4 linked regions of the Danio rerio genome follow. The protein of the gene in region 3 binds, or shares a complex with, the protein of the main gene of each other region. Links are inferred from orthologs where the notes say so. Each region holds a gene or a part of one and is shown on either strand. Other genes may lie near its edges. The genes, in order: ppp4r2b, smek1, ppp4r1l and ppp4r4.

Region 1 (8,600 bases), about 5.4 Mb from region 3:
GCTTTATGTAAGTGTGTTTGGAATAGGATATTTTCTCATATTTCTAATGAAAGCTCACAATTGTCTGATCAAGGCCTATTTGATGTAAATGAGTGATTTGCCGTTCTTATATTTATTTTTTATATACGTATATTGTTTATTTTTTAGGGAAGTGGAAGTGGTTTTGATCACTAAATGATTATATATATATATATATATATATATATATATATATATATATATATATATATATATATATATATATTGTTCCAAATTGTTGAAAGGTAACGGCTAAAAGATATAACAAAGTTATGGAACTTGTAAATGAGTTTAAGATTACAAACGACATGTTTACATAACCTAGATGTTTATCATAGTTGCACTGCTTGCCTGTTAATAGATCTGTGCTTGGAAAATGATTCTATATTTTCATAAAGGTGTGCATAATATTATAGTTGTTTCTGGACGCTCAGAATAGAAAATTGTGTTTGGTTTTAATGCATGAAGATTATCTAGAAAGAGAGCCGCTTTGTAGTTGTGTGAAAATACGAACAAATAATTGAAAGAACAATAAACGACTATTTCCTCCTTATATTTGTGATGTCTGAACTAGAATGGAGTCAATCAGAACTAAAATATTATTGATAGACTGAAATGCATTAGCAGGATTTGGAGTTGCATGCACTCCAAAATAACTTTTGCTTTTGTCTCCTGCAGATTTTGACAAGAAGGTGAAGAAGGAAGCGTCTACAGTTTTGGACCAGTTTTTGTGCCATATTGCAAAGACTGGGGAAACCCTGTAAGTACATTCAAATATCTATGAGTGATCTAAGTGGGACACAGAAACCCTTTTCACCTTTGTCTTCTAGTGGTTTGTTAAAAATCATAACTGCTTTTTTAGGTAACACCAGAGGGTGGGTTGTTATATGACCTTTTGGTTTTGTTCCAAAACAAACTAAACCTTGTACTTATCGACTAGATCTGACTTGGCCGACCTGCTCTCATTTCATGAACTCTTTAGAATACATGAATGAAAATTAAAAAAATATTAATATCTATCTCTTTGTAATACTTCTGCTGTCAAATATATTTGCTCAATGACACTGAAATGTGTTATTAACAGTCGTGCTGGTTTTATGCCACTCACATCACCCTGGACTCTACTCACATTATGTAACAATTGCAACCAAATCATTTAAAGCCCATATAATAGTAAGTTATATAATAAACAGCTTTGTGACTGACAAATCTAAAAATAAACTGAGCTGTGAATGCTGTATATCTCTTCAGGGTGTCCTGGTCTCAATTTAAAACCTACTTCGTATTTAAACTGGAAAAAGTAATGGAGGATTTCCATGCATCGGCTCCAGAGCAACGAGGGCCTGCCAACCCTAACGTGGAGTCAATTCCCTTTGAAGAAATGAAGGAGCGAATCCTAAAGATTGTCAATGAATACAATGGGTAAGTTTGTTATTCTTGGCGAAACTGTGGGATTGTGTTGTGGCAATTTTAATGTCTATCATTCATTATCTGAAATTGATCGGCACAACATCTAATGTCCCGTTTCCACTGAGTGGTAAAGTACGGTACGGGTCACCTTTATCAGGTTTGGAATCCAACCACCTAAAGGGTAAAAATGGTCCTCTTTTGTTGGGCTTGGTGTACGACAGAAGGTTTGTCTACATCATTTTCGCTCGAGGACATTTCAAAGTAAAGCAGTACAGGTCATTCACATATCATATAAGAAGCACTTCTCACAAAACAGGTGCTTTATACACATAAATACTTGTGTATAAATGTTCAGTACTAACTTGTCTATGAACAAGATTTGATTATAACTGCAGATCAATGATGCAAAATAGTGCGAAATGGCTTACTGAAACATCTGCAATTTATATAAAATAAATAAATAAATGCAACATGTATGAACACATGTAGAAACTTATAGTTTCCGATATGTTACCGATTACAGAAGAACGACATCACATACATTTAGGCTTTATTTGAGTTTAAAAACAACATGCAACATCAGTGCAAACCTCTCATCTGTATCCTTAATCTTCACTTCATGTTCAAGCTCTTGTTAGAAAGTCATTCCATCATTCTGAGTTCATAATAGTCCAAAAGGTGATGCTAATAGTTAAACATGGCAGTTTGTTTATGTTTTAGGTTGCTAAAACAATAATTTTTGTTCCTTTGTTTTGTTGAGCTTCTTTCGTTGTTTTTTTTATGCATCACTCTTGCGTTTGTCTGTTCCTGAAAGAATCGGGTGTCAAAAACATTTCAATAATCATGTGTGATTATCATTCGATCAAGAAGTTTGTTATTCTAAATATAGACACACGGCGAGCTCAAGTGAGGAAGCAAAACCGCTTGTGCTTTAGATGACCTTGTAAACAACTATGGGGCACAGGGTAGTTCTGCTCTTCTTGGCTTTGTGGCTGTTCATCAAGACGACAACAAGGCTTGTTTAAGCTCTGGTCGACCATGGCTTGTTATTATATGTATATAGTATTACAGTCGAATGTCTCTGCTGTGTTTTTAAAAATGGTGGTCCTTTGTTTGTATTCTCCTGCTAATGACTTGTCTCCTGCTAATGACTTAAACCAATAGCATTCAGCTGCGCGTCTTGCTCTGCCTTTTGGTACCCTTTTGTTGTGCTAGGTACCCTTCTGAAAGAGTACCCAAAAAGTGGTACGGTAAGGTTCACTTTTAGGCAGGGTGGGAATTACAGTGAGGTTTGGCGAGGACAATATCACAGGATATTGTAGGTCAGAATACATAAACTATATCACAAATCACTGAAAAATGAAATATTTTGCATTAATAAAATAGATGTCATTTAATTGTCAGTGTATAATTCACACCCTGCTTTTAGGTACCTTTTGACAGTGGAAACGGCCATAAGAGTGTAACGACCCATACCGTAGCATTCAATGGAAACAGGCCATTACTCATCAACCAATGCCCTATGCAAATTTGGGAAGAAAATGACACCATTGTAGTAGTAGTAGTTTGTTCTCATGGACATATGCATCAGTAGCCTGTGTGCATGTCTGAGATGACTGTTGACGCATTGTTTGTTAGTCATTACATTAAATCATTACATGGTGCTATTAAAAACATTTTCCCTGCTTGCGTTTTGAGTGTCATTTTCCACATCCGTTACACGATATGTCATGAATCATTACATTTACATCAAGCAAGTCATTCAGTGTCCACAGCTCATCGGTTTGCTTGAGAAATGAACTTCAGAGCAATGAAGTCTTAATGTCATTTATTCAAGCTATTGTGTACAATATTATATATATATATATATATATATATATATATATATATATATATATATATATATATATATATATATATATATATATATATAAAAAAATGAAATATCTAATTTTAGATGGGTTTTATTTCAAAATAAGTAGCAAATGAGCTTTAATATTATAGTAATACGCACAAACTGTTGTATATTTACAGTATTATCTGAGTCGTTATTGACCCTTTGCTAAGCCACACCTGAAAACCACCATACAACAATCGTGGCTTAGCAACCATAGCTATGTGCAGGAGGTCTGTCAAGCTTTTAAGCGGGGGAAACAAACCAAAGCGTTGTGCATATGGCTTGTGCAAATCTGATACCCGGTATCCTAAACATTTGTTGGATGGGGTTGGGGAATTTTTTTCCCATTTTAAAGCCTAAAATCCAAAGGGAGATAAGCCAGCATGAATCAAGCTGTGTGATGATCCATAAAAGCAGCACAATCCATTCATGTTTTTCCTCCGTTTCAAGCTACGAGTATTGGATTACGTATCAACAGAACAAAACAGACAAACTGAGCTCTTGCGATCAATATACTTCACCCACAGCTGTTTTTCAGTAATTTATAACCCTCATGCCCATGTCAGGGCTACAATTCACTGATGTTTTAGTCTGTCTTTTGGAGATTTAGTCACTGGTGATGACAATATAGCGAGTTAGTGTCTGCTTTTATATTTGGTGTCAGATTAATATTTGCTGGTAGGGAAAAATCTATTTGTTCACTTTTGCCATTTATACGTTGATGTGCATTTCAATCTATTTATTTTTTCCACTTAACTGCAAATTAGAATAGAAACGGTATAAAAGCACACAAACATACTGACAGTTATAGATATTGTACATTGTTATGGGTAAATGATGCTAATATTCGGCACAATCTATCAATTTCCTGTTCTTTCTATGAATGAATTATATGTCCAAGCACTGTCCATGCTAGTTTCCTCATCGGTTAGTAGCGCTATATTTCATTGCACAGCAGTTAGTCTATCAGGCTTTTTGACAAAAAAGCTAAATCACGGTTTAATTAGTTATTATTAGATTATTTTTAAATTTCACCTAACCTGCTGTGCATGAACTAAGCTGTAGAATGCTCAGCACATGAGGCGGCTAGGCTTTAGCTTTAAATTTGATTAAATTATTTACTAATCGGTTGCGTATTATGTCATGAAATATACCCCCGAAATGCATACTGCAGTCCTTTTTTGTCTGCCTTTCTCAGATATCTCACCTGTTTGCCAAAAATGACTAATTAAATCCCTGAGAATGTCTGACATGGGCACATACATATTGTAATAGACGTAACTAAAGAGGGCGGGGCTTAGCGAAGGGTAAATTACATTTTAAATGCCTGTTTTGTATAATGTACAGAAAATGTATTAAAAATTGAGGAACGTAAGAAATCTTTTTTTTAATGCCCTAATGATATGCTTACTGTAACTTGCTTTTGGACAAAAGGAAAGGGCCTGGGTGTTTACCCCAGAGCAAGTGTGCCCTCTCCTGGCTGTTGTTTTATAACAAAAATGATGTTATGGTCCTAATTCTTAGTGGTTTGTTGTGGAGGATGCACCAGTTAATTCAAATGTCTGCTCTATCCAGGATCCCATTTACTATCCAGCGCTTGTGCGAGCTGCTTACTGAACCTAAGAGGAACTACACAGGAACTGAGAAGTTTCTCAGAGGAGTAGAGAAGGTCAGTGTGTGGTGCATTCTTAAAAATAATAAAGGACCTGTATAAAGGAAATAAGGAACTAATAAATGAAAGCAGTGGTCCATTTGCTTTAAATACTTTCACCTTTTTGTCCTGGCCTTATAATGGTGACAGACCCTTTCCTGTATGTTCTGTTTGTATTTGCATTGTATTGTAGTTTGCATCCAAAGTCGGATGTGGAATATTATTACTTGCTATCTCTGATTTCCATAAAGACACACTGTTGGTTTACGGTAATGTGAATTTGTTTTGCAGGTGTGCTATTATCAATATAGAAGATAGCTTATAGTGTTTTGTATGCTTATGTTTGCTTAATGGGCTTTTATTACCAAGTAAAGAGGAAGTTTAGCTCATTGAATGGTTTGATTACTAGTCAAATGCAAGCAGTCCAGCTTTTATTTTTTTTGTCCTTTCCTTATAGCAGTAGAATCGTGAAGGTTAATAATATTGACTTTTCTCTTTTTCTTCAGAATGTGATGGTGGTCAGTTGTATTTATCCAACATCTGAGTAAGTTATTACTGTTCGCCATAAAGATTAAGATCTTCTGTATGACAAATAAACAAAATGTGATCATTTACTCTGAAATGAATGAAGAGCTTTTTTTTGCCCTCTTTGTAGGAAAAATGGCTGCAGTGGTGTCAACAGAATGAATGGAGTCATGTTGTCTGGAAACACATCTGCATTTACAGAGAGGTAAGGAAAGTATATGAAGCCTAAGATAGTCATTTTAAAAAATATATGCTCTATATATTGCACTGTATATTTCAGGAAAGTGAACGGTCCAGGAACACCCAGACCATTAAACAGACAGAAACACTCCATGTCCAGTTCGCTGGCCACAAATGGCCTTCCGGACAGTACTGAAAACAAAGACACAAACACACCCCAGGGACACAGCAAAACGACCAGGTAGACATCATATTTCAGCTCATCTTTCATGCACTTTTCACCTGCATGGACCATGACACACTTTTGAGCTAGACTTTGTTGAAAGGATGAAAGGGATGGTAGGGGAACAGTGGGATGAAGAGGAAGTAAGAAGATAAACGGTGAATAGGTCGGTAGGTTGATGGAGCATCCTACAAAGATGCCCTGAGACTAATAGTGGGGGTACCGTCTCTGTAATGTTTTGGTAGAGTGATTGGACCCCCAAATTCAACCTAGGAGGGAAAAGAGGATCATAGGATTGTTAATGGGAAGTAAGGAAATAGAGGGAAGGAGGGAGGGTGGGTTCAGAAAAACCAGAAGAACAGTGCTAGAGCTGGGTTTTTTAATCTGTGGGTGGCACAAGACATTGAGGCATGCTCTTGAGTAAATAATGATGACAAGTTTTGTGTGTTCATTAGAGTGAATCTGATTAATGTTAGCTCCACATCTAACTGTCAGGCACCTGTAGAGTTTATGCATTAGAGTAAAATCTATACAAATATAATGGACCGGTTGCTTTTTAAAATGAATGACAGTGAATGAAAGTAATACCGATGAACCGTCAAACAAAATCAGCTGGATGCTCTTCTGGACCTTTCACTAACTTTAACGACACTACTGACTACATTTACATGGACATCTGTAATCTAGTTATTTGCCTTAATAGACGGTAATATAATTAAGGTGTTTGCGTAAAGTGCTTCAATGTAAGAGTTTCACTTTAAATCATGAACATTTCAGTCATGCCCCCATGACAAACTGGGGTATTAGACGTAAATAAGGAGTAAGGACTGGTGAGAGTGTTATGGAATTTAACCCTTAGATGCAGAAGCTATAAAATAGATATAGAAAAATAATGTAGTGCATCAAAGGGTTAATGATGCACGCCAAATGGAAAGAAAAAAACCTCAGCATTTTGCGATGTGTGTGTTTGTGTGCAGTCATTTACGGACCGCCACGTGTGTATCTTGTTAAAAATATGGCAAAGTCCTACATGACGGTAATAGTTTGATTGCAGTGTTTACTTCTGTATTTCCACTATTATATGCATACTCCATGTCTTGATTCTATTTCTATTTGGTTCAGTTACGAGTTTAGTCAGATTAAGGTGATCCTAAATCATTGTTTACATGGTAGACTCTTAATCGGAGTATTTTCTTAAGTGTATTAAAATCTATTAAAGTATTGGTGTCCATGTAAACAATGTTCAACTCAACCACACCGTCGGGGCTCTGCGAACTTGGTTTTGGGAAGCAGCATTTTCCGTATGTACGTACATCAAAAGCAAGTATGGTATGGCTCACACTTATTGACAGTGGAAGATGATTGATGGTTAGTCGTGTCAGGAATCCAACCATGTTGTCCTCAGAGAAACAGGCTCAGCCATCACACTGAATCAGTTGAGCTATACATTTATGTTTCAACGTGATTAATGCTACACACTTTAAATGCAGCAAGTAATATGTGAATGGTGTTTGCACGTGAATTATAATTTTGGAGGGGGTGTGCAAGTGAAATTGTCTAAATGTGGGGGGACGTGTGTCCTAAAACGTTGAAAACCTCTAAACTAGAGGTCTAGAGGTTAAGAAGAAGTGAGGTGTGGATCCACTGTTGAACCTTTGTTAACAAGTTAAATCCAGTGAGATAAAGTATTAAAGAGACAAATGAATCATTTCAAATAATCATCTTGTGTGTGTAATGTGCTGATAGTTTAATCAATAAACATGTTTTATCTTTTAACGTGGTAAATAATTAACTCTGCTGACCTTCAGCAAAAATAAATATATAGAAATGGCCATTTTTTTCATTCTTTTTGTTGCAGTGATGCATCTGCGTCAGGCATTGGTGGACCACTTGGCAGCTCTGTAAAAAACAAACACTTGGATGACGAGGAAGATGAGGGAATGGAGGAGGAGGAACACGAAGTTAAAAGACTCAAATTCAGCCAGGATGGCAACGAAGATGAGGAGGACGAAGATGATGTGGACGAGCAGGTTGTGGAGACCCCCAGATCCACACTGAGCAAAAGCCCCTCAGATAAGTCAGAGGACCCTGAATCACCGTCATCCATGTTGCAGGAAGGGAGTGAAGAAGAAGAGGAGGAAAGTAAACATGAAGGCTCGGCTGAAAACTCTGAAGACCAAGGTGGCATAGTTCAAATTATTTCTTGTTATAAATAGCTCATTATTCTTTCTATAATGCATTTCTTTTTCTTTTTTAACACAGAGCCTTCCAGCACACAACCCGAGTGTCCTGTGGCAGATTCCAGAGAGACGTTTACAGAGAGAGAGGTTCCCTGTGGTTCAGATGACTCTTCAGAAGAGCCCAGCGATATGGACCAATCAGAGCAGAGAGCACCAGCAGGCGTGGCCTCGAGCCCTGAGCTGAGAGAAGGAGAGGAGCCAAGTGAGGTCAGCAGCAGTAGCACTGACGACAATGCCTCTGGACCCACATCCAGCAGCAGTAGCATAGACTCTCCAACAGAGGGCGACACTGGGTCAGGGGCACTGGACTTGGAGAGCGCAGAGGAGCCCATGGAGCAAGACTAAGAGCCTGCACACTCCTACCCCAAACAACAATGTGCTTTTGTGGAGATTAAGACGACACACACACTCAAGTGGCCTTCCACAAAGGTCATCCCAAGCAACACCCAACCTACC
Region 2 (8,600 bases), on a different chromosome or scaffold from region 3:
GAAAAATATTACATGTGTAAACCTTTTCTGCTCTCTCTCTTTGTTGTGTTAGAGATAGCAGGAGAGATCCACTTATTACTCCAGGGCCGAATAATATTAGTTTCGGGATTAACTCCCTTCTCTTTTCGTTGCAGCTGGTGAATGAACAAGAAAACATGTAACTTAGTCTAAATTATTTTTTTACTTGCCGTGTTTTACAACAAATCAGTCACACACATGCCAAATTGAAGCCCAGTCCCTTAAAGGACCTGCACATTTAACAACACGTGTAAACATAACGGTTGTTTGTAATTTAATATGATTATTTGTTTTTATCAACGCGTTGGTTGGCATATGTTGTTGATGTAAGATTGTATTCCATTTGATTGGAATATTCATATTGATTATAACAAGTGCGCGTGAGAGCAGTCCACCGCGCACACACACACACACACACACACACACACACACACACACACACACTGTAGCATGGGTGAGAGGTGAATCCAGTATATTATAGTTTATTGTACATTATACTTTTATAATGGCCATTACTGATCATTAAAACCAATATTCAGCAAAAGACAGTGTGTTTCGTATTTTGAATGAAAATGAAAGGAAGCATTAATTTTATAGAAATATACATTCAACGAACATGACAGTCATAAATATGCAGCTAAACGACGCCTCAACAATTTCTGCTGACTGTTAGTTAATCTCAAAATGAAAATAGGCAGTTCCTTATATCAAGTTTTCATTTTATTGGTAAGAAAGTAAAACAACGTAGCCAGGGTGATGTAAATGAGGTTATAAAGTATGCTGTTCCTTTGAAGATTTACCCGGAGTGTCCTCGGGAGTTTGTTTTCCATATCTAACCTGTGAAGTCTGAACTTGCTGGGAGAGGATGCAAGACTGAACTGTATGTAGGCTACTTAATATTAAGGAAAAAGCTCCCATCAGAGAGGTCTGCTGCTCTGCCCTTGTTTTCAGATGTCTTCGCTTTCCGCCATCCATACTAACACAGAGCAGCAGCATTTTAAAATGAAAACAGCCTCTTCAGCATTTTCAAATAGCTAAGTTTTTGGCGTTGAAAACTCTGGCATAGTTTGGACGGATGGCGCAACTGTAGAAAAACTTGTGTTTTCAAACTAAAACGAATAAGTGTAAACAGGGCCTTAGACTCGTTTTATGCTTGATATGCTGTAAAGTGTGAACACAGTGGTCAAACAGTGGTCACAGTGTCTGTCAATAACATGTTTACATGGGGGGAAAAAGACAAACAATGGAGACGATGAAAAAGGATTTGGAGAGTCAGTTTACAACTGTTTGATGTTATTCATTTGTGATCAAATTGAGAAAAGTGCTTCTCTGCCAGGTTTAAAGTGCTTATTCTATGGAATATTGTGCTTTGTTCCCTCTTTATTATTGCTGAATTTAAAGGGATCTGCTTTTACCAAGTTGTTTTATTTGTAATATTTTTAATCAGATAATTTAGCAATTTTAATTTAACATTACATTTTAAATTTAATACATTTCTATATCTAATTAATTGTTCAGATGTTCTGAACAAAGTTGTTTCTTGTCATATCACCCAGCTTTTTTGTTCTTTGTCAGATTGTAGAGAAACATTCTCTTTTTATTGAATTGTCTGGTTCCTTGCAGAAAACTGAGAAGACCGAGTTTTTGAGCTTCTTCTATAAGCATTGCATGCATGTGCTCTCCGCTCCACTTCTTGCCAACACCACTGAAGAAAAACCCAGCAAAGGTAATAACTTTTACTATCTTTTTGAGCATGTGTGTGTATGTGTACGCTTGTAGGATGCATGCAGGGTGAAAGTTTTGGCAGCTTTGTTTTGAAGCGTTCGTGTGACTATTTGCATACATATTAAAAAATGTAAGCTTTACAGACTTTTCACTGTGTTTGTTTGTCTTGTCAGATGATTTCCAGACATGTCAGCTGCTGGCTCTGATCGTAGAGCTGCTCACTTTCTGCGTGGAGCATCACACGTATCACATAAAGAACTACATCATCAACAAAGACATCCTGCGCAGAGTGCTGGTGCTCACTGCATCACAACATGCTTTCCTAGCCTTATGTGAGTAAATTCTCACTGCACAAATGATACCAATTTTATAATGAGCTAAAGCTTTATGATATCACATTTGAAATGAAAATATTCTGCAGAAAATATTGTATTTCCACTTGCTGTTGTCGGTTGCGAAGATGAGCTTTTGCTTTTTTTGCTTTGCTTAACACTATAGCAGTTTAGATGAACTCTTTCTTAAAGTATTAAAGTTATGAAGTCTAAGCTAAGTAGAACTGTACAAATGACAGGCCTTCATCATAGTTAGTTATGCTACTTTTCATGAGAACGTTTAAATCAATAACCCCAAACTCATTAAAGTTGATCCATTTGTATAATGAAAGGCTCTGTTTAGTGTTACACTGTTATTATAACACATGCCAGGTAATTCTGTTTTCAGGGCCAGCAGCATTATTAACAAGCATTTATTTATTTTGGACAAAGACCAAACACTCGGTGCTTTCAAACTGACAGACATCACTTATACCTTGGCTGCAAAATCTCATTGTACCTTTCCCACTTGTTTGTCATCCAGGTGCTTTGCGTTTCATGAGAAAAATCATTGGCCTGAAGGATGAGTTTTATAACCGATACATTATGAGGAACTTCCTGTTTGAGCCAGTGGTCAAAGCTTTCCTCAATAATGGATCCAGATACAACCTCATAAACTCAGCCATTATAGAGATGTTTGAGTATGTCAGAGTGGTGAGTACATGGTTTCACACATCCCTTCTCTCGATGCTCTTGTACACACTGCTAGGTTGATATGTTGTGTGTGTGTAGGAGGATGTGAAGTCACTGACGGCTCATATCATAGAGAACTACTGGAAGGGCCTGGAGGACGTAGACTATGTTCAGACGTTTAAAGGACTAAAGCTCCGATATGAACAGCAGAGAGAAAGACAGGACAACCCAAAACTTGACAGGTCAGTGGTCATCACATTTAGTAAAATCACCATTCACTCACTGATTATAACTTCACTGAAGTTACTTTAAGTTCAGTGTTTCTCAAACTTATTTCATCAAGTCCCACATCAGAAAGAAATAGTCTCAAGTACTACCATAATAACCAGTATTAAAATACAGTAGTGTGGTAGGCCTAATTAAGCAGCTATGCTCTGCAAAGTTAAAAAACGAGGCATATTAATTTGTATTAATAAGAATGTTTCTTAGTGTCAGCCACATTATACAACATTATAAATAGTTTGAACATTAATACAGTACTGTTTTTATAGGTTAAAAAAAACAAACAAAATGAATGTGTTTGTCAGAAAAGTAAGTGATCGCATGCAAAAAATACACAGCTTGACCAATTCATACATGATTTATTTATTCATACATACAAAATTTCTATGATTTGAGATCTCATCTTTTGTAGACAGAGTAAATGGGACCTTAGTCTCTGTGTGCAGTTAACCCAAACTTCACTAATACATTTTAGTTTTTAAAACACAAGTTTGGCTACAGTTTTTAAGCCCCGAAAACTGAGCTTTTTGAAAACGCTGAAGAGGCCATTTTCATTTTACAACACTGCTGCTCTTTGTCATTGTGGATGGGGGAAACTGAGACATCTTAAACGGAGGCATGGCTGCAGACGTTCGCAATCTGATTAAGGCTTTTTCTTAATATTAAGTGCATAAAGTTCAGTTTTGCATCTTTTCCTTAAGATCCGACTTTGCAAGTTTGATATGGAAAATAAACTCCCAAGGACATGTCGGGTGTACCTTCAAGGAAAAGTGTAGTTTATAACGTCATTCACATCACTCTGGCTACGCTGTTTCACTATCTTAATAATAACAATCAAATGAAAACATGATCTAAGGAACTGCCTACTTTCATTTTGATATTAACAACTTAACAGATGCCAAAAATGTAAGGCATCATGTAGCTACATATTTATGTCATATTCACTGTATGCATATTTATAACAAAACGGAGCCTATAACTTAACTGCCTCCTTTAATGTTCTTCAAAAAATATGAAACATACCCTCTCTTTTGTTGAATATCAGTTTTAATAATCAGTAATATCAATTATAAAAATATAATGTACTATAGGTTTATACAATATAGGCAAGCAATCAGTCAAATGTGCACTATCAGTGTTTGTAGTTACATTAATTGATGTATAATTTGCGCTCCGCCAAAACGCGTTACCAGAGAACAAGTAATAGATTTAAAAGACCAAAGAGTCAATAGATAGTCAAGATGACTTTAATCTATCACATTTAACAACTATAATTAGATAAAATCCAGCAGTAGATCTATGGTGAACTTTGACGTGCGCTGCTCTTACCTGGGTAGGTGGGTGTTTTGACTTCATGATGTAAGAATAGGCATTGAAGTAAATAACATTCATATTGTGACAGTTTTTTTGTAAATAGGAGAAGAACCATGCATCAAGCAAATTACTGCCAAAAAGAGAATAGTTTATTATACAAAAATCAAAGATAAACAGAAAATAGTTATGAGAAAGAAGAATAAAATAGATGACAACAAATAAAAAACATTTAAATTATATACAATTTATAATAACAAAATCCAAAAACAATAAACCCCGCAGGGGAAAAGGACAAAAGTGGCGCTGAAAGAAAAGAAAATAACAAAAACAAAAATCAAACTCAGTATAATCCTTTAACCTAACTGAAATAAAATAATCGAAAGCAAGTCTTCGGCGTTTACAAGCCCTAACTTGCCTACTCTAAACTTAACCAAACCGTAAAATACAAAGCCAGCGCTCACTCTTAAACCTGGTGTGTCTATACACACTTTAACTAAGTGATGTAAGGATGTACGTCATGTGACATCTACCTCTCCAAATCTCCCTGGGTAAAACAAAGAATATCAACAAAATTTCAAACAAACAACAAAAATAATATTAATGAAGATAAACATAATGGCAAGAACAACTTTTGACAAAGCAATATTAAGTACCACAAAAAAACAAAAGAAATAACGAGTGGCAGACTAAAACAAAGAACAAAACAGGAACGCAAAAGCCTCTGTCCGGCGTCCCACTCGTCGTCTTTTTAAAACCCTGGCAACCACTCAGATTGACTGCCGAAGCCACCACATCACTGAAGATAATGATGATTGACTGCTCCTACAGCCAATAACAATTCGAAGGGGGTTGACTCTTTAAAACTGAAAGAGAGAAGAGAGACAGAGAGAACAGGTCCGCGTGTGCGCAAGAGAGAAAAGAGAGAGACATGCATGCAAAATTCCAGGAGCGTAACAGTGGCCTTTAATTGGGCTATATTTTAGCTCCAAGCTTCATGCATGGCGAATTTGCTTGAGTCTATGTTTTGTGTTGAGCAACATTTAAATCACATCCAGATTAATTGGCCTAAATCTGACATAACAAATTAATCGAAAGTCACACTGCTTTACAAAACAAATTTCTATATCAAAATAACAAAAACTTTATATATCAAAACGTGCTTTAAATTTCATAACTATGGACACATTTTAACACATTTGTTATAATTGTTTTACCAATGATGCAGCATGGGGAAATTCCTGACTTTGCAGTAACTGAAATGTCAACACTGCACTGGTTTGCAAAAGTGCTTCACTAGCGCATATCTGCTCCAAGCGCTGTAGCTGTGCACCTCTTTTTCTGGCTCTGCACCAAAGTGGGTTGATTTTTAGCGTATGATGGAGTGATGAACTAAAGTAAACATTATAAGCACACCGATGTGATCGTATGCTTCAGGGAACAGCTGGCACTGATCACATTAGTGTAATTGTTTGCTTCAAAGGGTTAAAAGTGTGTTCATTTTTTTCTTTCTTTTATTATTCAATATTTCTCCACGTACCTCTAGATGAAAGTACCACAGTTTAAGAACCACTGCTTTAGTTTTAATAGGGCTATAAAATCAGTATCTTGTTTTATAGAGGAAAAAATATTTTCATACAAAACATTTTTTTTAAGTGTAAAATGTATTCTTTATGAAATACAAACTTAAAATAATTTGATAAAATAAAAAGTAAACTGTATAGGAAGTTTTCCCCCTCTGTTTTAAGAACAACTGTGAAACTATTGAAGTCAATATTTAAAAGGAGATTGCATCTTTGTCACCTTTTTTCTTTTTTGGAATTTGAGCTGCTATGATTTTATTGGTATCAAATGGTGTCATTCCATTATGTTTTTTTTCCCCTGTCGTCTTGATTATTTTCAGTATGCGGTCGATTCTGAGAAATCACCGTTTTCGCCGGGATGCACGGACACTGGAAGACGAGGAGGAGATGTGGTTTAATACGGATGAGGAAGACTTAGAGGATGGTGAAGCAGTTGTGCCTCCGTCGGACAAGATGAAGAATGACGAGGACCTTATGGATCCCATCAGCAAATTTATGGAGAGGAAAAAATGTATGTTACTGCTACTTACAGGATGGTGTGATGATCAGCTAGTATTGTCCTCCACTTGATTGCAAGATAATATTATGTAATGTGTGTTGTTTGTTTGATTGATAACTTTTTTGTACTTTCTCCTTCACTTTCCACAAGTGAAAGATTCAGAAGAGAAGGAGGTGTTGACAGGGAAAGCAAGTCTCTCAGGACGGCAAAGTCCCAGTTTTAAACTGTCCTTCTCCAGCTCGCCAAAGGCAAGCCTGTCCTCTCCGCCGACTGCATCCCTTCATCCCGGTTCACCTGGTTCTCCTAGCTCTCCCGGGACAGGGGCCCGGAGCTCTCCCCCTTCGGCAGCTGTCACCACTAAGGTATTTAACAAGAATTGAAAGTGCTTTAAAATTCTAGTTGTTTCCTTTTTTACTATTGTAAGACAAAGTATTTGGCAGGGTTCTAACAGGTGCTGGAATTGCTTGAATTTTAATCTACTGTTTTTTTAAAGGTTTAAAAAGTGCTTAGATTTTGGATAAAGTGCTTAAAACTGCTTAAAAAATGTAATTGCTTTTGCAATATTGTATTTTACTAAATATGTAATAATTATTAACTATTTAAATAAAATAAGCCTTTTTGCTTTTGCATAAAATGAAAACTTGCAGAAAATGTGTGTGTACTGCAGGCAAAGTTTAGGAAAAGTTTTAAAATGCACCTGCAAAAGCTTGAAAAGTTCTAAGATTTGACTTTGGAACAGATGCAAGAACCCTGACTTGGGCACCCTATTGGTATAGGCCTTTTAAGACCCCAAAGATAAAAAGAGGTTTGCAGTACATGAGCAGTGATATTCTGTTAGCAAACATCCCGTATTAAATGATTATGTAAATATGTGCTCCACCTTTTCCTCCCAATAAACAAAAATGACAGAACTTAAGAAAGCAGCTGATATTGATGTTCAATTTTGCAGTCTAGTCCACTCACATCATGTGTCTTTAAATGGCACTTTAAACTGTAGATTGAGTTTTAAACCAGTGTTAATGTTAGTGTTGTTTTTTTTTCTACTGTAAATCGGCTATTCAATGTTTGTGAACAGGAAATGAACCAGAGAAAAATTCACAGAATACTGAGAGTCTCCTACCTGCTATACAATCTCCACTGAGCATTGGTAGTTGGTAGGTGTCCCAAAAAGGATATATTTTCAAAACATTTTCTTTGGAAAACTTTTTTTTTTTTTGAGTTTCAATTGAACTCTGTTTAGGCCTAATTTTGTCTATAATGATGCCACATCAGCTTATTCCTTGAATTGGCTTGAAGCATATTATCCAATACTTAATAAAATAATAATCCAGTAAAAGTATCAATTACACTCTTTCAATTTCACTTAAGTGAAAGTACAAAAGCATGCAGTGAAAAACCCTTTTTGGATGAGTTCTTTTCCCAAGAGAGTTACGATATTGATAATGCCAGCTCACACGTTTAAAACAACAAGTATGACATTATCATAGGCTGTAAATAATGTACACCCATATTGTGACCATATCACAATCTCAATTAGTTTGCAGACAACTAACAGTAGTTGCTTAAAGTTATTTCAATAATAAATCATCAATTTGAATTAGTAAATGTTGCCTCAAGAACATACACAGTCAGATCAGTCCCGTTCATCAAAGACTCTTTAAGTGTGATTTGGAAACCATTTCGAGATGTTAACTGAGAAGAATCAGCTGATTTGTCAGTGGGTGAGCATTTCTCCAGTCTCCAGTTGTATGCTCATTTATTTACCCCACAATACATCCCTAGAATAAAAAGCTCCATGTTTAGAATGGTGCTCAATATTAATGACTTCTGCTCTGATGCTGTCACAGTAGATGCCTATTGAACTTTTTATTTATGTCTAGTAATATTCAGATTTGTATCATATGGCTCATAACAAAAAATAGTCTCAACTACCGTATCAGATGCTTGATGCTTAGTTACTTCTCATTAAGGGGTGCATAATATATCGTTTCAGCATTTTTATCACAATGTGTGAATCTGCAGTAGTCAGTTCAGAACGTTTAATTTGTGGGGTCATCGCAAAGTTTAACCACATAACATTAGTGAAAGATTTTCAGTTGGATGCGTTTGTAAGACTGATGCCCGTGTAAGATTTAAGCAAACTTAAACTAAGAGGTTATAAAGGTATATAAACATAAA
Region 3 (7,292 bases):
ACCCCAAACCACGATTTTTCCCTCACCAAACTTGACCAATTTCTGTGAGAATCTTTGCTCCATGCAGCTTCCAGTAGGTCTTCTGCAGTATTTGTGATGATTGGGATGCAGTTCAACAGATGATTTATCAGAAAAATCTACCTTCTGCCATTTTTCCAAATGGTCAACTAGAAGTCAAGTTATTATTTGTTGCTCTTACAACTGGGATCGACAACAAGACTTTGTCAGGTAGTGTGTACAATATGTTGACTGTAATTTAAATATTACAATAAAGCATACATGACTAGTATAGACCAAATGTAGTGTTTGCAAAAAAAAAAAGGCACAAAAATGATTTCAAATTTATATTATTTTAATTAACAAATACTAAAAATAACAATACATAAAATGTATTTAAAAGAGATGCACAGAAAATTACAAAGGTTGTAACCTGAAAGGTTAGGATATAAAATCTTTAACCATGATACAATGAGAAAAATAAAAGATTGGGGGGGGAAATTAAAAGCTTGTTTCTTAATCGTGTAACATTTCCAGTAGATCAGTACATACGCAGACAGATGAAGTGGTTTTTGCTTTTGACATCAGTGATGTCAGTGCCTCAGGAAAATCACACACACACACACACACACAAAACAACCTATTGGAGAAAACATAATCTAACAAAATATAAATCTACTATTAACAGGGTCCATATAAGTGGAAGAAAAACAATCGGACAAACAAAAAAGACACACAAACACACATGAGAACACGAGGAAAACAACGTCCCCCTTCATACAACCTCAAATCAATCTTCGCCACAGGGAAAGAACAAAAACTGGCCTTGAATCCTGCCGATATCATCAATAAAATCATATCAGCGATTTGATCACAGGCTGCATTTCAGAACTAGACTAAACCTAATATATTTTCTTAAAAACAATTCCATTTACACATTCCATAAACATAATCCATATACACACACATCTGTGAGAATAAACGCACTGGATCCGAGCACCACTTGAGTTTGGTCAAGAAAGTCGCCTTGTTAAAAATTCACGATCCAACAGATTTATTATTACCATTATTATTATTATTTATATAAAAGAACCTGTCATTCTCTTTCCATTAAACCCTTAATGAACAGTAAAGTGCTCCTGGCAAAGTTTGCCCTTGTATGCTGATGGAAGTCCGGTCTCGCAATTGAAATACTTAAACAGTTAAACAGGCATGCCGATAACCAATCAGCATCTAATAGAGAGTTAATCGATGCCAAGAGCAGCACCGCCATGCTTAATAAAAACGGATGGTCCGACTTCAAGAGCGCAATAGCTTATTAATCTGAAAGCAAATCTGTTGGAATAAGAGGAATCATGGCGTGCTTTGATTTAACTAGTGCAAATCTGACTAAACAGTGTGCTCGCTTTAGACAACCTGTCAGCGCCATCTGCAGGTCGAGTTCACAATTGACAAATCAAATGTCATTGTAGTCTTAAAGGAACACAACACTCTACTTTAGAGTAAAACAGATGAGTTTTACCATTTGTGAATCCATTCAGCCACAACATGGGTCTGGTGGTAGCACTTTTACTTTAGCTTAGCTTAGCATACATCATTGAATCGGATTAGACCATTAGCATTGCTCAAAAATCAAAGTGTTTGGATAAAGGATTTATTTAAAGCTTGACTGTTCTGTAGTTTCACCATTAATAAGACTGACAGAAAATGAAAAGTTGCTATTATCCAGGTTGATATGGTTATAGGAACTATACTCTCATTCTGACCTAATAATCAAGGAACTTTGCTGTAGTCGCATGGCTGCAGCAGGTGCAATGATATTATGTAGCACTGTTCCCTAGCTGGGGACTCTTTTCAGACACTGCATGATATCATTCCACCTGCTGCAGCCATAGTACGACAACAAAGCCACTTGACTATTAGGTCAGAATGAGAGTATAGTTCCTATAACCCCATCAACCAGGAAAATATCAACTTTCGATTCTCTGTCAGTCTTAGGACACGAATTAACTATAGAACAGTCAAGCTTTGAACAGAAGGTATAATTGTTTTTGAGCATATAGCTAATGGTCTAATCCGATTCAATGAATTATGCTAAGCTAAGCTAAAAGTGCACTCACCAGAGCCAGATTGGCTGAATGGAATTAAAAATAGGAAACGGTTTAACTCAAGATGACTTGTAAAAAGAGCCTATTTCCAAAATAAATGTGGAGTGTTCCTTTAAAGCCTGATAAATAGTTTCATCTAGTGGTTCTAAAGTTTGCTTGGAAAGCACTGGTTTAACACCTCCCATGCCTCTAAAATACTGGCCCCTTTTATTAATAAAACGGCGAGGAATAAAACCGCTCTCCACCAATCAGGGAAGACGAGGACGAGCTACAAAAAGGATAGGGAGTTTTTTTGGGGGGGGCTCCTGAGCTGCAATAACTCATTTTCCACCACAGTCTGTGTGCATCCTGAGGGTTGGGTAAACAGGAGGTTGGTGAACGCAGCAACATTTCTGAGGCATCATCACTTGGGCTCAGCTCGATACCACTTTACGGCATTGCAGCTTTAAAAACAAAAACAATTCAGGTCTCCCTGAGTTAGTAGCACTTCACTGTGTCAGTCTGCTTGTCTTCTTAGTCCTTTAGCTTTAAGAAATCCACAAGAAAGAAAAAAGAAATGTACAGTTTGCTTTGGAGGGGCAGCTGGTCGCATCAGAACGGTTTGATGAGGAGAAATGACACAATCCACATACTTACGCTGCCACGAAGGTGCAAATGAAACCTTGCACCATTCAGAGAGGTGAAATGGTTGTTGTGTGAGTGAGAGTTTAGGTGGGCCTCACGCATGAAAAGTTTCCTTGATTTTCAATTCCAATATCTCATGATTTAATCATCTAACTGGATAAAAACCACAATGGAAAGTAAATCTGCATCACCTCATTGCTTATAGTTCCATAGATAGTTTCATGAATGAGGCCCACTTTGTGTATAAATCAAAACAATGCATAATATATGCATATACTAATTATGTGGATTGTGTTAGGACAGGAAACGGTGTGTGAGTGTGTGTGTGTGTGTGTGTGTGTGTGTGTATGCGAAGGTCTTGGTCAGTAGTTCCTATTTGTAAACGCTCGTCTGTGAATCCGTTTAGTGTTGTTCCTGCTGGTGCTTGTTCACATGTGCGGATTGTACAAGGTGCTAGATCAACGCTGTGGTGTCCATAATGTTTCTGTTGGGATCCAGTGTGGCGAAAAAGCGCACGTCTCTGTCTTCATCATTGCGGAGCACAGACAGAGTCTTCTCCAGCTCATCCGAATAAGCGCTGTCTGGGTCCTTGAAATACGCTGAAATCAGAGCGTATACAGAAAAGGCACTCAGTACTCATGACTACTGATTTAAGCTAAATATTAGGGCTGCACAATATATCGTTTCAGCATCGATATCCTAATATGAGAGGTCTGCAATAGTCAGGTTGCAGGATCGGCAACGTTGATCTGGGATTATACTCGAGCAGAATGCTGAACAAATCAAAAGTTTAACCCTAATAGAGCGAAAGTTTTTTTTTCTGTGACTACATAGAATTTAAAGCAAATTTAAACCATTTGGGCCACAACTGATCATGATGATAATTGTATTAAGTTATACAATGAATAAATACTACAGTACTGACTAGTCAACAAATATTGAGTACAGTAGTGAACATTTGAAGTGGATCAAAAGGTTTATAAAAATAAGAAATAGGTGTTGTTAAATAGTTTTAGGACAACTTTGATGAAAAGGTTTTAATCTACTTCAAATGTTGACTACTGAATAGTGTTATTTTACAGTCGCCTTTTGAATTTCTGCATCTCCGGACTGTCTGAAAACCATAAAGAACTACTTATTAGTATCTTTGCTCTTTTGTATTAAATTTTATGCATATACACTCTCGATCAATGTAAATTGATGTTTAATGGGTTACTTAAATGATCTTATAAAATTAGATTCATATCCCGATATACATTAACAGGCCACTTTATTAGGCACACCTTACTAGTAATGGACCCCCTTTTGCCTTCAGAACTGCCTTAATTCTTCATGGCATAGATTCAACAAGATACTAGAAAATTTCCTCAGAGATTTTGGTCCTTATTGACATGATTGCATCACACAGTTGCTGCAGATTTCACAGCTGCACATCCATAATGTTAATCTGCCGTTCCACCACATCCCAAAGGTGCTCTATTGGATTAAGATCTGATGACTGTGGAGGCCATTTGAGTACAGTGAACTCATTATCATATTCAAGAAACCACTCTGAGATGATTTACGCTTTATGACATGGTGTGTTATCCTGCTGGAAGTAGCCATCAGAAGATGGGAACACTGCTTATAAAGGGATGGACATGGTCAGCAACAATACTCAGGTAGGCTGTGGCGTGATGCTCAATTAGTAGTAATGGGCCCAAAGTTTGTAAAGAAAATATTCCTAACACCATTACACCACCTCCAGCAGCCTGAAATAGTTGATAAAAAACAGGATGGATCCATGCTTTCATGTTGTTGATGCCCAATTCTAACCCTACCATCCAAATGCCACAACAGAACATTTTTCCAATCTTCTATTGTCCAATTTCGGTGAGCCTGTGAGAATTGTAGCATAAGTTATCTGTTCTTAGCTGACAGGAGTGGCACCCGGTGTGGTCTTTCACTGCTGAAGCCCATCCGCCTCAAGGTTGGACGTGTTGTGTGTTTAGAGATGCTCTTCTGTATACCTTGGTTGTAACAAGTGGTTATTTGAGTTACTGTTGCCTTCCTATCAGCTCGAACCAGTCTGGTTATTCTCCTCTGACATCAGGGATTTGCACCCACAGAACTGCCGCTCACTGGATATTTTCTCTTTTTCGGACCATTCTCTGTAAACTCTAGAGATGGTTGTGTGAGAAAATCCCAGTAGATCAGCAGTTTCTGAAATACTCAGACCAGCCCGTCTAACACCAACAACCATGTCATGTTTAAACTCACTTAAACCCCCTTTCTCCCCTATTCTGATGCTTGGTTTGACCTGCAGCAGATCCTCTCGACCATGTTTACATGCTTAAATGCACTGAGTTGCTGCCATGTGATTGGCTGATTAGAAATGTGCATTAACGATAATAAATAATAAAGTGGCCGGTGAATGTATATTGCAGCAATACAAAAAATCTTAATGTCACCTTTTTTCAACAGTGTGCAGCGCTACTTAATGTTGCTTTAATAAAACATTTTATAGTTTGTTTGAGAAATGTGATGAAAATGTTTGAGAAATCGGTTCATTTTTTTCAAAATGCATCACTATTCACTCTTGAATTAATACTCATTTAAGTTTTTAACCGCAGATGGCGCTGTTTGCTTTTTAAAACAGCTGTACTCTGCTCTATCAAATTCTGTATAAATACAACTGGAGCCTAAAATAACCCTTAAGAAACGTTTAAGCGAGGTTTAAGGTTTGTGAACAGTTAAAAAACTAGCCATCTTCAACTTAAGTTTTGTGCGTGTGTGTCTTACGTTTTTCCAGCACGCTCTGCCGTAAAGCCTTGGCCACCAGCACACGGACGTTGGGCACAGGATCTGATGAGAGGCTGAGAAGACTGGGCAGAAGGTGCTGGGCAAACTGGTCCATGGGCATACAGTCCTCCTCCACTACCGCCTATATGGAAAGACAGAAAACATCCCAATAAACAATACACAATAAGATACTATTAAACATTACATGAGAGGTTTCACATCCAAACCCCATGATGTCAGACTTTAGTTCTTTTGAAGTGAAATTAAATTACATAAACAAAAAAAAAATAGACATAACAAAATAAATAAAACTACATGGCAATTCTTTTCTTTACACACACACACACACACACACACACACACACACACACACACACACACACACACACACACACACACACACACACACACACACACACACACACACACACACACACACACACACACGTGTATATATGTATGTATGTATGTAAGTATGTATGTATGTATGCATGCATTCATGCGTAGTAATATATATATAAAAAAATAGCTTAAAGGGGCTAAACATTTTGACCTTAAAATAGCTTTTAAAAATTTTTTAAACTTCTTTTATTCTAGCCGAAATAAAACACTCTCAAGAAGAAATATTAGACATACTTTGAAAATTTCCTTGACCTGTTAAACATAATTTTGGAAATATTAAAAAAAGCGGAAAAAAATCTAAGGGGGGGTTTAATAATTCTGATTGCAACTGTGTGTGTATATACATGATATTTGTTTAATATAACAGTTATTATGCAAATATATAGTTTTATATATATATATATATATATATATATATATATATATATATATATATATATATATATATATATATAAATCTAAATTGTCCGCAAATTTCTGAGAAATTTAATACCGTGTATAACAGCAGACTTTGAGACTTTAAGACTTTAGAATATTTTTAAGGGTTAAAAAACTTCTCTAAATTGATTTATCAACTTATAAGACCCCCACGGACACCAGGTAAAAATGATCGCACTACATAAAATATTAGTAATTTTCTGCCACATTTCAGGCAAGATGAAATAAAATAACTTACTTTGTTTCCGTACATATTGTGTTTTTCATTTTGAAAGCATTAAGAAAGTTTAGTGTAGTGACAATATAAAGAAGTCACCAGCTGACTAACACTTAACTGCACTATAGTCTATTATGGTGCTCTCATCATTTCAGATTTATCCATCTCGGTGTGTCAAGAAACATCATGACTATTCTATGTAAAACATTCATTTAAAAAGTTAAAGAGCAGCACAAAATAAGAGACGAACAAATGTGAAGAACAAATGAATAAGATTAAAAAGAAACCCTGTAAATCCTTTGAATGATTCTTGAAGTCAAACATCATACCTGGCAAATGAAAGCAAATGCCTGACGCCCGACCCATTTGGGACTGTGGCAGAACCTCATAATGAGCTCATTAATGAAATTAAGTCCCAAGTCATGAGCTTCACAGGAATACAACTTCTGCAGGATCTCCACCACCTGACAAACATTCACAAGACAACAAAAAATCATTGAATCAGCCCCACTGAAAAACAATGGAGCCAATAAAGCCAGCAGAGAGTTGTTTTTTCCAAATGTGCCACAGGAAACAAGTCTCACCAGTTTGTAGGAGATCCACCGCACTTCTGACACTTTGTCAGAGCAAAGGTTAAGTGCGATCTGTCTGAGGTAGTCATAGACGTCATTGTGGCTGTACAACTCGATGATCAGGATAAGCTGTCTGAACACACATACAAAGAC
Region 4 (8,600 bases), on a different chromosome or scaffold from region 3:
TAAGGTTTTGATTCAGCTCTGCATGCGCACAATGAAATAATATAAATATATATATATATATATATATATATATATATATATATATATATATATAAACGTGTCTGAACAGAATAAAATCATTGTGATAAATGAATAAATAATAATAATAAATAAAGTACTTTGACCTGTAAAATGCCTCTTGTTTTCTCTCAATAGTATGTAATTAATAAATTCACAGTATATTCACGTGATTGCTTAAATAGCCATAGAACTTAACTGTCAAATGTAAAAATGTACATTATATCTTGTGGCAGTTGCCTTAATAATCCAGTAGGCTCAAAAGGGAGCATGTTTGCCCTCAGTTTCAATATCTATATGACATCTATGAACACTACAATTGGAATTCTGCAAGGCTATATAAGCTGTTCCTTTGTTTTTACTATAGGCATAATGACTTGATTCAGATAAGAAATATAATATTGTTTAAAATATGAAGTAATGATGTACTTGTTGTATAGATACACTCATTTGACAATGTGTGCAGATTTTGCAAATGCTTTGCATCCTTGGAGTGAGGTGCAGCATGTTTTAAATAATGAAATAATGAGTTGTATACAGCCGAATACGGCACTTAGATAATAACCCAGGAAGCAAAGAATTCTGGCTGAGATTTAGCATAAAGCTGGCACAGCAGGCATTCAGACCAAACATGGCCCAGGTTTGACAGCAGTCAGGCACCGTCTTTAAGGCGGCACACAATATTTGGGCCAGATGTCAAATGTAGTATTTGGCCCAGATGTTATAATTTGATATGTGGGCCATGTGAGTTTGGCCTATCTTGACCCACATTTAAATTCTTATTTTAAAAAAAAACAAAAAAACAATCAGGTCTCTGCAAGAAAAAGCATGCCCATAGCATGTCTAAAGTGCAATGCTTTATGGATTTATCAATTTCATTGCAGTCGTGACACACCAACATATCTGGCCTAGTTCAGGGTTAGGGATTGTTAATTTGGCTGAGATATGGTCCATGTTTGGCCCTTGTCTGGAAGCCAGACTTGGTCCAGTCATGTACCGTAATTTACTGCAGCATGTGGGCCAAGTAAAAGCTGATTGTGTGGGTCAGAGCTGGGCCAGAGATATTTTGCTAGGTGGGGAGTGGCTGATTAAAAATGGGAGTTTATCAGTCAATTTGAGAAACATACACAGAAAGTTTCCTAGACTGTGTGTCTTTATTCCCGTTACTCCGGTGATCCACAGAGCTGCTGGTGTTGCTGCGGATCAGAACAGGCATGGACGAGGACGATGGGGTGGAGGAGATTGAAGAAGCAACATTAAAGTGGTGGGGTCGCAGGTTATCATCTGGAAAGCAAACAAGTACATAAGTACATGTAAACAACAATATAATATAACAATATAATTCACGAAGAACAATCTCATTAGTTACCATTTAAAGGTAGCATAGGACTCTTTCCTGATCCAGGGCAACTTCCTGAATCTTTCAGTTTTCTAAAGAAAAAATTGTGAGTGTAAATGTTGAAGTACTAGCGATGATGGGTCACAGGTCATGGGTCAAAGAACCAACTGCAGTAGCAACATAAGAAAGCTTAGGGGATTTTGTTACGTACAAGGTTTTGTCTGAGTTTGTCATCTTGGGTGTTGTGGGATGGCCACTGAGAGAACGACTGCGAGCTAGTTTAGCCCTCCGCATCTCCTTCCCTAGAAACAGCAGCAATGTGGAGATGATAAGCACCGGACCATTACAAAACTTTAAGAAAATGTTTAACATTTTTATGTCACTGGAAATTTATCAAACTAATAACAAAAACAATAATAACAAAACGATTACATAAGTAGCTTTCTGCTACACGCTACAGATTTTTTTGTTCACAAAAGTTAAACAGTATTTCTGTGAAATATTTTTATTGTAAAAAATATTTTTAATGTTTTACTATTTTGTTAGTTTTCAAAATGGAATATTCAGCATTTCCGAAAATATAATAAAATGTTATAATAATTCAAGCATGTTCCATCATGTTCCTTTACTTGATCATTAAAAGGATTGTTCACCCAAAACTGAAAATTGTGTCATCATTTTCTGACCCTTCGCAAATCTGTTTGAGTTTCTTTTTTCTGTTGAACACAAAAGAAGATATTTTGAAAAATGTTGGAAACCTGAAGCCTACTTACAAAGTCAATGATTACATGTTTCTAACATTTTTCAAAATGTCTTGTTTTGTGTTCAACAGAAAAAAGAAAACTCACAAAGATTTAAAACCACTTTAGTGTAAGTAAACAGTAAGTAAATATTCATTTTTGTGGGGACTATCACAATAAATAAAATGTTTATCTGATTAAAATTATTCCAAAAAAAAAAAGAAAAATCTAAAATTGACAAATTGTTAATTGACAAAAAATTAATAATAATTAATGTACACAATGATTCTAACCAGAAGAAGAGGACGATGATGCTCCTGATAATGTTCCTGACATTCCTTTACTACCAGATAGGCCTGATTTGCTCTCTCGTTCTGGAACACAACAATATAATAAACCACAACATAAACACACATATGCTGTACAGTACATTTAGGAAACTTACAATAAGCTACAACAAAAAGCACAAAGTAAACTTCTTAATGAAGTGGTGCATAAATAAACATCACTCACGTTTCTTCTCAGACTGTTTATCTCCAGCTAGTTTTGCTTCACTCTGCTGTCTTTCCAACAGTTCCTGTGTTAACAGCAGCACAAATACAGTAGCAACAAATAGTTCACATGTAGGGATCTAGAACATATACAAGTATAGTTCACAGACAAAAAATAAATTCTGCCATCATTCACTCATTCTCCACTTGTTCCAAACCTATTTGAGTTTCTGGTAACACTATTTTTAGATGTCCGTGCTACACAAGTTCTACAGTATGTACTTACTATAGTGTTACAGGTTTGTGATTAGATTTTGCTTATTTAAGAAGCTGCAAAGATGTGTTTCACAGACTGCTTCGGAGGATCGTTTCCATTCAACTTCTTTTTGCTTACCTACCGCTTATATATTATTTTTATTTTATTTTGGAATTTGATCCTATGTTATCTGTTGTTTTGAACTATATATGTTATGTTAGACATTTAATTTACATATATTTAACCTTTAAATAAATATATTTTTGCATTTTCATTCTATTTAGTTTGGTGCTCTTCATTTGTTGCATACCTAAGCCGGCAAGCAATAATAGTAATTACAGGTAATTATGGTTGATTGCATTCAGCTAAACCTAATCCACATTCTAACCCCAACCATATAGTAAGTACATATAAAAGTACTTGTAATGAATTAATATTATTTATTAGTCGCTGAATTAATAGTTACTCTGTAACAAAGACATCTGAAAATAAAGCATAACCGAGTTTCTTTCTTCTGTTGAACACAAAAGAAGTATAACTAAAGAATGTTGGGGAAAAGCAGCCACTGACTACCATAGTATATTTTGTTCCGACTATGGATGTCATTGGCTGTTTTTCTCCTATGTCTTCAAAAGAAGAAAGAAATTAATAGAAGTTTAGAACCATTTAAGTCTGAGTAAATGGTGAGGAAATTTTCATTTTTGGGTGAACTATCTCTTTAAAAATCTCATTTTTGTCTTGTTGGTACTGAAAATAGCATGTGACCGCCCACATTTACACATAAGGAAAAGCCTATTTGCTTTTTCAAAATGGTTTTGGTGGAAAAAACCATAACCATAATAATAATTTGCCTTCAATTTCAGTAATTAAAAATCTCTCTCACCATTTCAAGTAAAAGGGTCTCCTCCTTCTCCTTTTTCTGATCCAAGAGCTCTCTTTCATGCCTTTTATGATACTACAAATATAAATATGGGCAAAGTTCGCTCACAGTGCTCAAAAGAAATAACTATGGTGTACAGAAACTGTCATCATAACCAAATATAAAAAGTCACAGATCCTTCATACCGGCTCTGTAATGTCCATTTTGTCCAGCTCCAGAACTGTCTGAGGGAAAATAATAAAACAGTTTTTGCAATATCATTACTTGTAATTAGGGATGCTCCGATCAATCGGCCAGCGATCGGTATTGGCTGATAATTACATTTCATGTCTCGATTGGTACTCGCTAATCTGGCCGATCTCATGAACCGATCGCAATAGTTTGTTTACGAGTTTACAAGAACTTATAAGAAGTGTTTTCTACAATATTACAAATTCATTAAAACCTGACTAGAAATATTAGGGAAATAAAAATGAGACATTCTTCCATCATTTGCAATGTTTCCATATTGCTTAGTTAGTCATTTTTCTTACCAATTTTTTTGTATCTGCTTTCTTAATTATTTTCTGAAAAGCTGCTTCTGACCATGACAGGTACACACTAAATGCTTTTAAGAGACATTTAAGGAAATATATGCAACATCTTGAATTTATTCTCTTTCGTAAGGCAAGATCTTCATTTAGGTATCATACTTGGAGGTAAAATGTGCTTTAGGCATTATAAAGCTTGAAGCATTAGAATCGGTACTTGGTATCGGCCAATCACCATGACAAGGAATCAGTACTCAGAATCGGCTGCAAAAATCCTGATCGGAGCATCCCTACTTGTAATAAATTGAATCACCTTCAGTATACTGTACAGAATACATTTTACAAAAGAGTGTTTGTGAATAAAATCCAATAAAATAAAATAAAAAAAATCCAATAAAATAAAATCTCACTTCATAAGAAATCCATGCAATCTGATGTCTGGTGTGCAAACATGTTGCACTGAAACCCGGCGCATTTATATTAAATTAAACTGCAGCCTGTGAAATGCGATAACACTAAGCCAAACCGTAATATTAAACTTATTTATAATTATTTATTATCATGCTGGCCCAAAACATTTGCCAATACAATGCTAATGCACCTTAATAATGATTTCCTCACCTTTCTCAATGTCACCACTACATCTTTATCCTTTTCACGGCACAACAATTTCCGAACACAGAACTCCAGCTGCTGAAGCAGATGCTTTTCTGTTGGTCTGATGGTGGATCTCAATTTGGGCAACATATAACAGAGCTTGTACCTGCCAAAATGTTTTGTTTTTGTTAAAAAAACAACAACAATTTGAAGAAATACTTTAAAGCATTAAGTTATGTAATTCAAATGAATAGCAAAGTCAAAAAATAAGCAATAATGTGGAAAACTTGCTCACCTGACATTGGCCACAGGATCACTAACTAACTCAAGTGCTGGAATAAGAAAATGTTTGCAAAAATATGATTTGGAGAAGAGGTCTATTGTGATATCACACAGGTCCAAAAAGCGAAGCCTGTTCCAGTAGCTTCTACCTTGAGCAAGATCTAAAATACAGGAGAAAAAAACACAGTCCCGACCACATAAAAAGACAAAATTTCAAGCACAAGGTGTCAAATAAGTATTTTTCTTTCTTTTTACCTTGTTTTATTTTACTCATTATCTCTTGCCGCTGTTCTTGTTTGCGGTTATAGCGCAGGAACACACATAACGTCCTGACAGCTTCCCGCTGGACTGGCAGAACATTCTACAACAGAGTAAACAGAAAAGACAGATCAAACATACTGTATAACGGATGAGACTGTACTGAAAGGTCTGTGTGTGTAAGATGTTTACATTAGTGGTGATGATGCTGAACATCCTCTGAAAGAAGCGGAAGTAGATTTGGTCTCCAGAAATGACACGAGGCAGACACGAGTAGCACTGAAGCAGCTTTTCATGAACTCGCCAGTGAAGGGAAGAAGCCGCTTTCTGCTCTGCTGCTACCAAAGCTGGCACCAAGTCTTGTATATTCACCTGCTGTAAAGGTGAAAGTGATATAAAAGCTACTATATAAACACTCATATTCAGCAAGATGCCTGCATTCAACTTATTAAATGTACTGTAACAGAAAAGACTTTTACATTAAAATCAAAATTTTATTTCAAATATTTGAATAGTCTTTTGAGCTTTCTATTCACTAAGGAGTCCTGGAAAATTCTAACTTGCTTTCTACGAAAACATTACACCGCAGAACTATCTCTTAAAACAGGGGTGACCAACCCTGTTCCTGGAGATCTACCGTCCGGCAGATTACAGTTGCAACCCATATCAAACACCTGCCTGTAATTATCAAGTGCTGTTCAGGTCCTGATTAATTGGTTCAGGTGTGTTTGATCAGGGTTGGAGCTGAACTGTGCCGGAAGGTAGATCTCCAGGAACAGGGTTGAGCACCACTGTCTTAAACACTGATAATATTTTATTTTGAGCATGAATTCAACATATTAGAATGATTCCTGTGCGTTCATGAGTCACTAAAGTCTGAAGCAACAGTTGCTAAAAATGTAGCTAAAGTATGCCATCACAGTAACGCATTTAAAAATATATTGACATAAAAATATATTTTCAATTTAATTAAAACATACTATATTATATTTTCTTTAATATATCAAACTGAATACTGATTTCAAACATTTCAATTTTATTTACACTTAGAAGATTACAGTTATAGCTATCAAAAGTTACTTTTATTTTGTATAAGAAAAAAACAACTTCAAAATAAGAATTATAAATAGTTCAATAGGAATATTAATGACATATTTGTATAAATTATGATGAGCTGTTTATTAAAAAAATCATTCATTTTAGAAATCTTTTTGTATTATTATTAGGACTAAAAGTCTAAAACAGGTTTTGTCAAAGTTTTTTCCAGTCCCAGATTCAAATGCGCTCTCTTATTTCAGCTCATATGTACCTCTTAATCCAAGTAAACTGAAATAAAGTCAAAACGTTATTGGTACCAATATTAAGTTAGCAGAAGCATTTTGGCAATAACAAACAATGCATGCCATTTTACACCTGTTGCTCAATCCATCTGTTTTGTCTACTTTCACCCACTTGGCCTATTTCTTTAAAGGGAGGTTGAATAAGTGGGTTGAATGAGTATGTACAGACTTTTCTGATCTTTTCAATCTAATGGAACTTACACATGAATGTGAAAAGAGACAACAGGACATTATATTACATGGAGGACGACAGCTTTTCTTTCTACTCTGATAGCTGTAAAACTACACAGAATGCTATGAATTTGTGCAAGAATCAGGGCTGTTATGAGAACATAGTTTTTTTTACTAGTTATTGTTGACGTTTAAACTATTACTTCACCCAAAATGAAAATTCTGGTCTTAATTACTCATGTCTTTCCAAACCCCTAATAGCTTTGTTCATCTTCAGCACACAAATTCTCTGATCCTCCAAATACACTAATGGTTCCAAGATTCTCAAAGTCCAGAAAAGAAACCAACCTCTTTGACAAAACATTCCATGTAACTTCACTAGTTTAACTGTAATCACACAAAGCTACCAGAACACTTTTGTGCAGCAAAAAATCTTAGATTGGTTACTCACTGAAGCTTTGCAGTGAAGAGCCTGGTCAGTACCTGGATTGGAGAACATATGGGAAAACTAGATTGCTGTTGGAAGGCCAGCAGGGGGTGCTCAACCTGCGGTCTGTGTGAGTTCTTATGCCACAGTAAATTGAAGGGGACACTATATACTGTCGGTGAGTGCTTTCTAGGACCAGATTAACCAACGAGCATTATGGGCACAGGCCCAGGGGCTCCTGCGCACTTGGGGCCCCTGTGAGGGTGGAAAAAATGTGGATTGTGGAGTGTCTATTTAGGCTAAGTGCAAATAGTGCACCTCGTTGGAATAAGCTAACCAAACGATTCCCGCCTATAGTGGCACACCTTTCGTGCAAATCCTTATGTACCACCTTTTGCAGCTTCAATTCCAACAACCAGTATTTGCAAAAACGCGAGTAAGACCGAATCTTCTTTTAAAAAAGGTTTACTGAACAAATGCAAACAAAATACAAAGTTACAATAGACTCGATCAGCTCGGTCAAAAAACTGTGTTGCTTCCAACATCCATAACTGCAATCTGCCTAAAACGTATGAACTACAGACCTCATGACGTATTACTGTCGGAAGCCAAAATACCAAACTAAAGGTTTTTAAATTATATCAATTACTAAATTATGCATTTTAGATAATACAATCACAATGAATTCTTATTAAATTTAAATATCAATTTTTATCATGTTTTAACCTTCACTAAATTATTATCACAAATGAATTCTGCATAACTGGCTCTTACATTACCCGGCCCCTAATTGTTAGGCTGGAGGACTAATCAATTACAACTAAAAACATTAAGAGCCAAACAACTTAAACTTCAAATGTGTGTAAAGATCAACTTGTCCTTCTTTGTTACTCGTCCAACGTTGCCTCTTTCAACAGGCACAGTTTATTTACGGGTCTTTCCAAAGTGCTGGTTCTGGTCTTCAATTTCACTCTCCGCACCATTCCAGTGTAATCTGGCAGTGTTTCAACTATTTTCCCCATTACCCAAGAGTTGCGGGGAGATGAACTGTCCACCAATAGCACCACATCTCCAATCATGAAGTTTCTGCTGGGTTTCATCCATTTCTGACGCTCCTGAAGAAGTGGAAGATATTCTCGCGTCCATCTAGTCCAGAATAAATCGGCAAGATACTGAACTTGCTTCCATCTTCTTCTTGCATATGTGTCATCTTTGCAGAAGATGCCTGGGGG

Evidence for each region.
Region 1: ppp4r1l (region 3) and ppp4r2b share a complex: the UniProt entries of both Homo sapiens proteins name them as parts of the PP4 complex. The link is inferred for Danio rerio from reciprocal best matches to the Homo sapiens genes PPP4R1 and PPP4R2.
Region 2: ppp4r1l (region 3) and smek1 share a complex: the UniProt entries of both Homo sapiens proteins name them as parts of the PP4 complex. The link is inferred for Danio rerio from reciprocal best matches to the Homo sapiens genes PPP4R1 and PPP4R3A.
Region 4: ppp4r1l (region 3) and ppp4r4 share a complex: the UniProt entries of both Homo sapiens proteins name them as parts of the PP4 complex. The link is inferred for Danio rerio from reciprocal best matches to the Homo sapiens genes PPP4R1 and PPP4R4.

The regions. Positions count from the first base shown.
Region 1 is NC_133181.1:46,720,779-46,729,378, forward strand, and holds part of ppp4r2b (serine/threonine-protein phosphatase 4 regulatory subunit 2-B), read left to right. Parts: intron 1-696; coding exon 697-778; intron 779-1,269; coding exon 1,270-1,440; intron 1,441-4,900; coding exon 4,901-4,994; intron 4,995-5,482; coding exon 5,483-5,520; intron 5,521-5,631; coding exon 5,632-5,706; intron 5,707-5,781; coding exon 5,782-5,922; intron 5,923-7,762; coding exon 7,763-8,085; intron 8,086-8,166; coding exon 8,167-8,489; 3' UTR 8,490-8,600. UniProt on the Homo sapiens protein: Regulatory subunit of serine/threonine-protein phosphatase 4 (PP4). May regulate the activity of PPP4C at centrosomal microtubule organizing centers.
Region 2 is NC_133195.1:36,336,257-36,344,856, reverse strand, and holds part of smek1 (serine/threonine-protein phosphatase 4 regulatory subunit 3), read left to right. Parts: exon of another isoform or gene 1-679; intron 680-1,641; coding exon 1,642-1,744; intron 1,745-1,916; coding exon 1,917-2,075; intron 2,076-2,598; coding exon 2,599-2,768; intron 2,769-2,846; coding exon 2,847-2,989; intron 2,990-3,885; exon of another isoform or gene 3,886-4,646; intron 4,647-6,243; coding exon 6,244-6,434; intron 6,435-6,572; coding exon 6,573-6,784; intron 6,785-8,600. UniProt on the Homo sapiens protein: Regulatory subunit of serine/threonine-protein phosphatase 4. May regulate the activity of PPP4C at centrosomal microtubule organizing centers.
Region 3 is NC_133181.1:52,153,689-52,160,980, forward strand, and holds the end of ppp4r1l (serine/threonine-protein phosphatase 4 regulatory subunit 1), read right to left. Parts: intron 7,273-7,292; coding exon 7,152-7,272; intron 7,032-7,151; coding exon 6,897-7,031; intron 5,653-6,896; coding exon 5,511-5,652; intron 3,329-5,510; coding exon 3,183-3,328; 3' UTR 335-3,182; downstream 1-334. UniProt on the Homo sapiens protein: Regulatory subunit of serine/threonine-protein phosphatase 4. May play a role in regulation of cell division in renal glomeruli. The PPP4C-PPP4R1 PP4 complex may play a role in dephosphorylation and regulation of HDAC3.
Region 4 is NC_133195.1:30,091,046-30,099,645, reverse strand, and holds part of ppp4r4 (serine/threonine-protein phosphatase 4 regulatory subunit 4), read right to left. Parts: intron 5,806-8,600; coding exon 5,623-5,805; intron 5,534-5,622; coding exon 5,428-5,533; intron 5,334-5,427; coding exon 5,186-5,333; intron 5,057-5,185; coding exon 4,915-5,056; intron 3,988-4,914; coding exon 3,949-3,987; intron 3,839-3,948; coding exon 3,767-3,838; intron 2,714-3,766; coding exon 2,650-2,713; intron 2,511-2,649; coding exon 2,430-2,510; intron 1,699-2,429; coding exon 1,608-1,698; intron 1,489-1,607; coding exon 1,427-1,488; intron 1,342-1,426; coding exon 1,185-1,341; intron 1-1,184. UniProt on the Homo sapiens protein: Putative regulatory subunit of serine/threonine-protein phosphatase 4.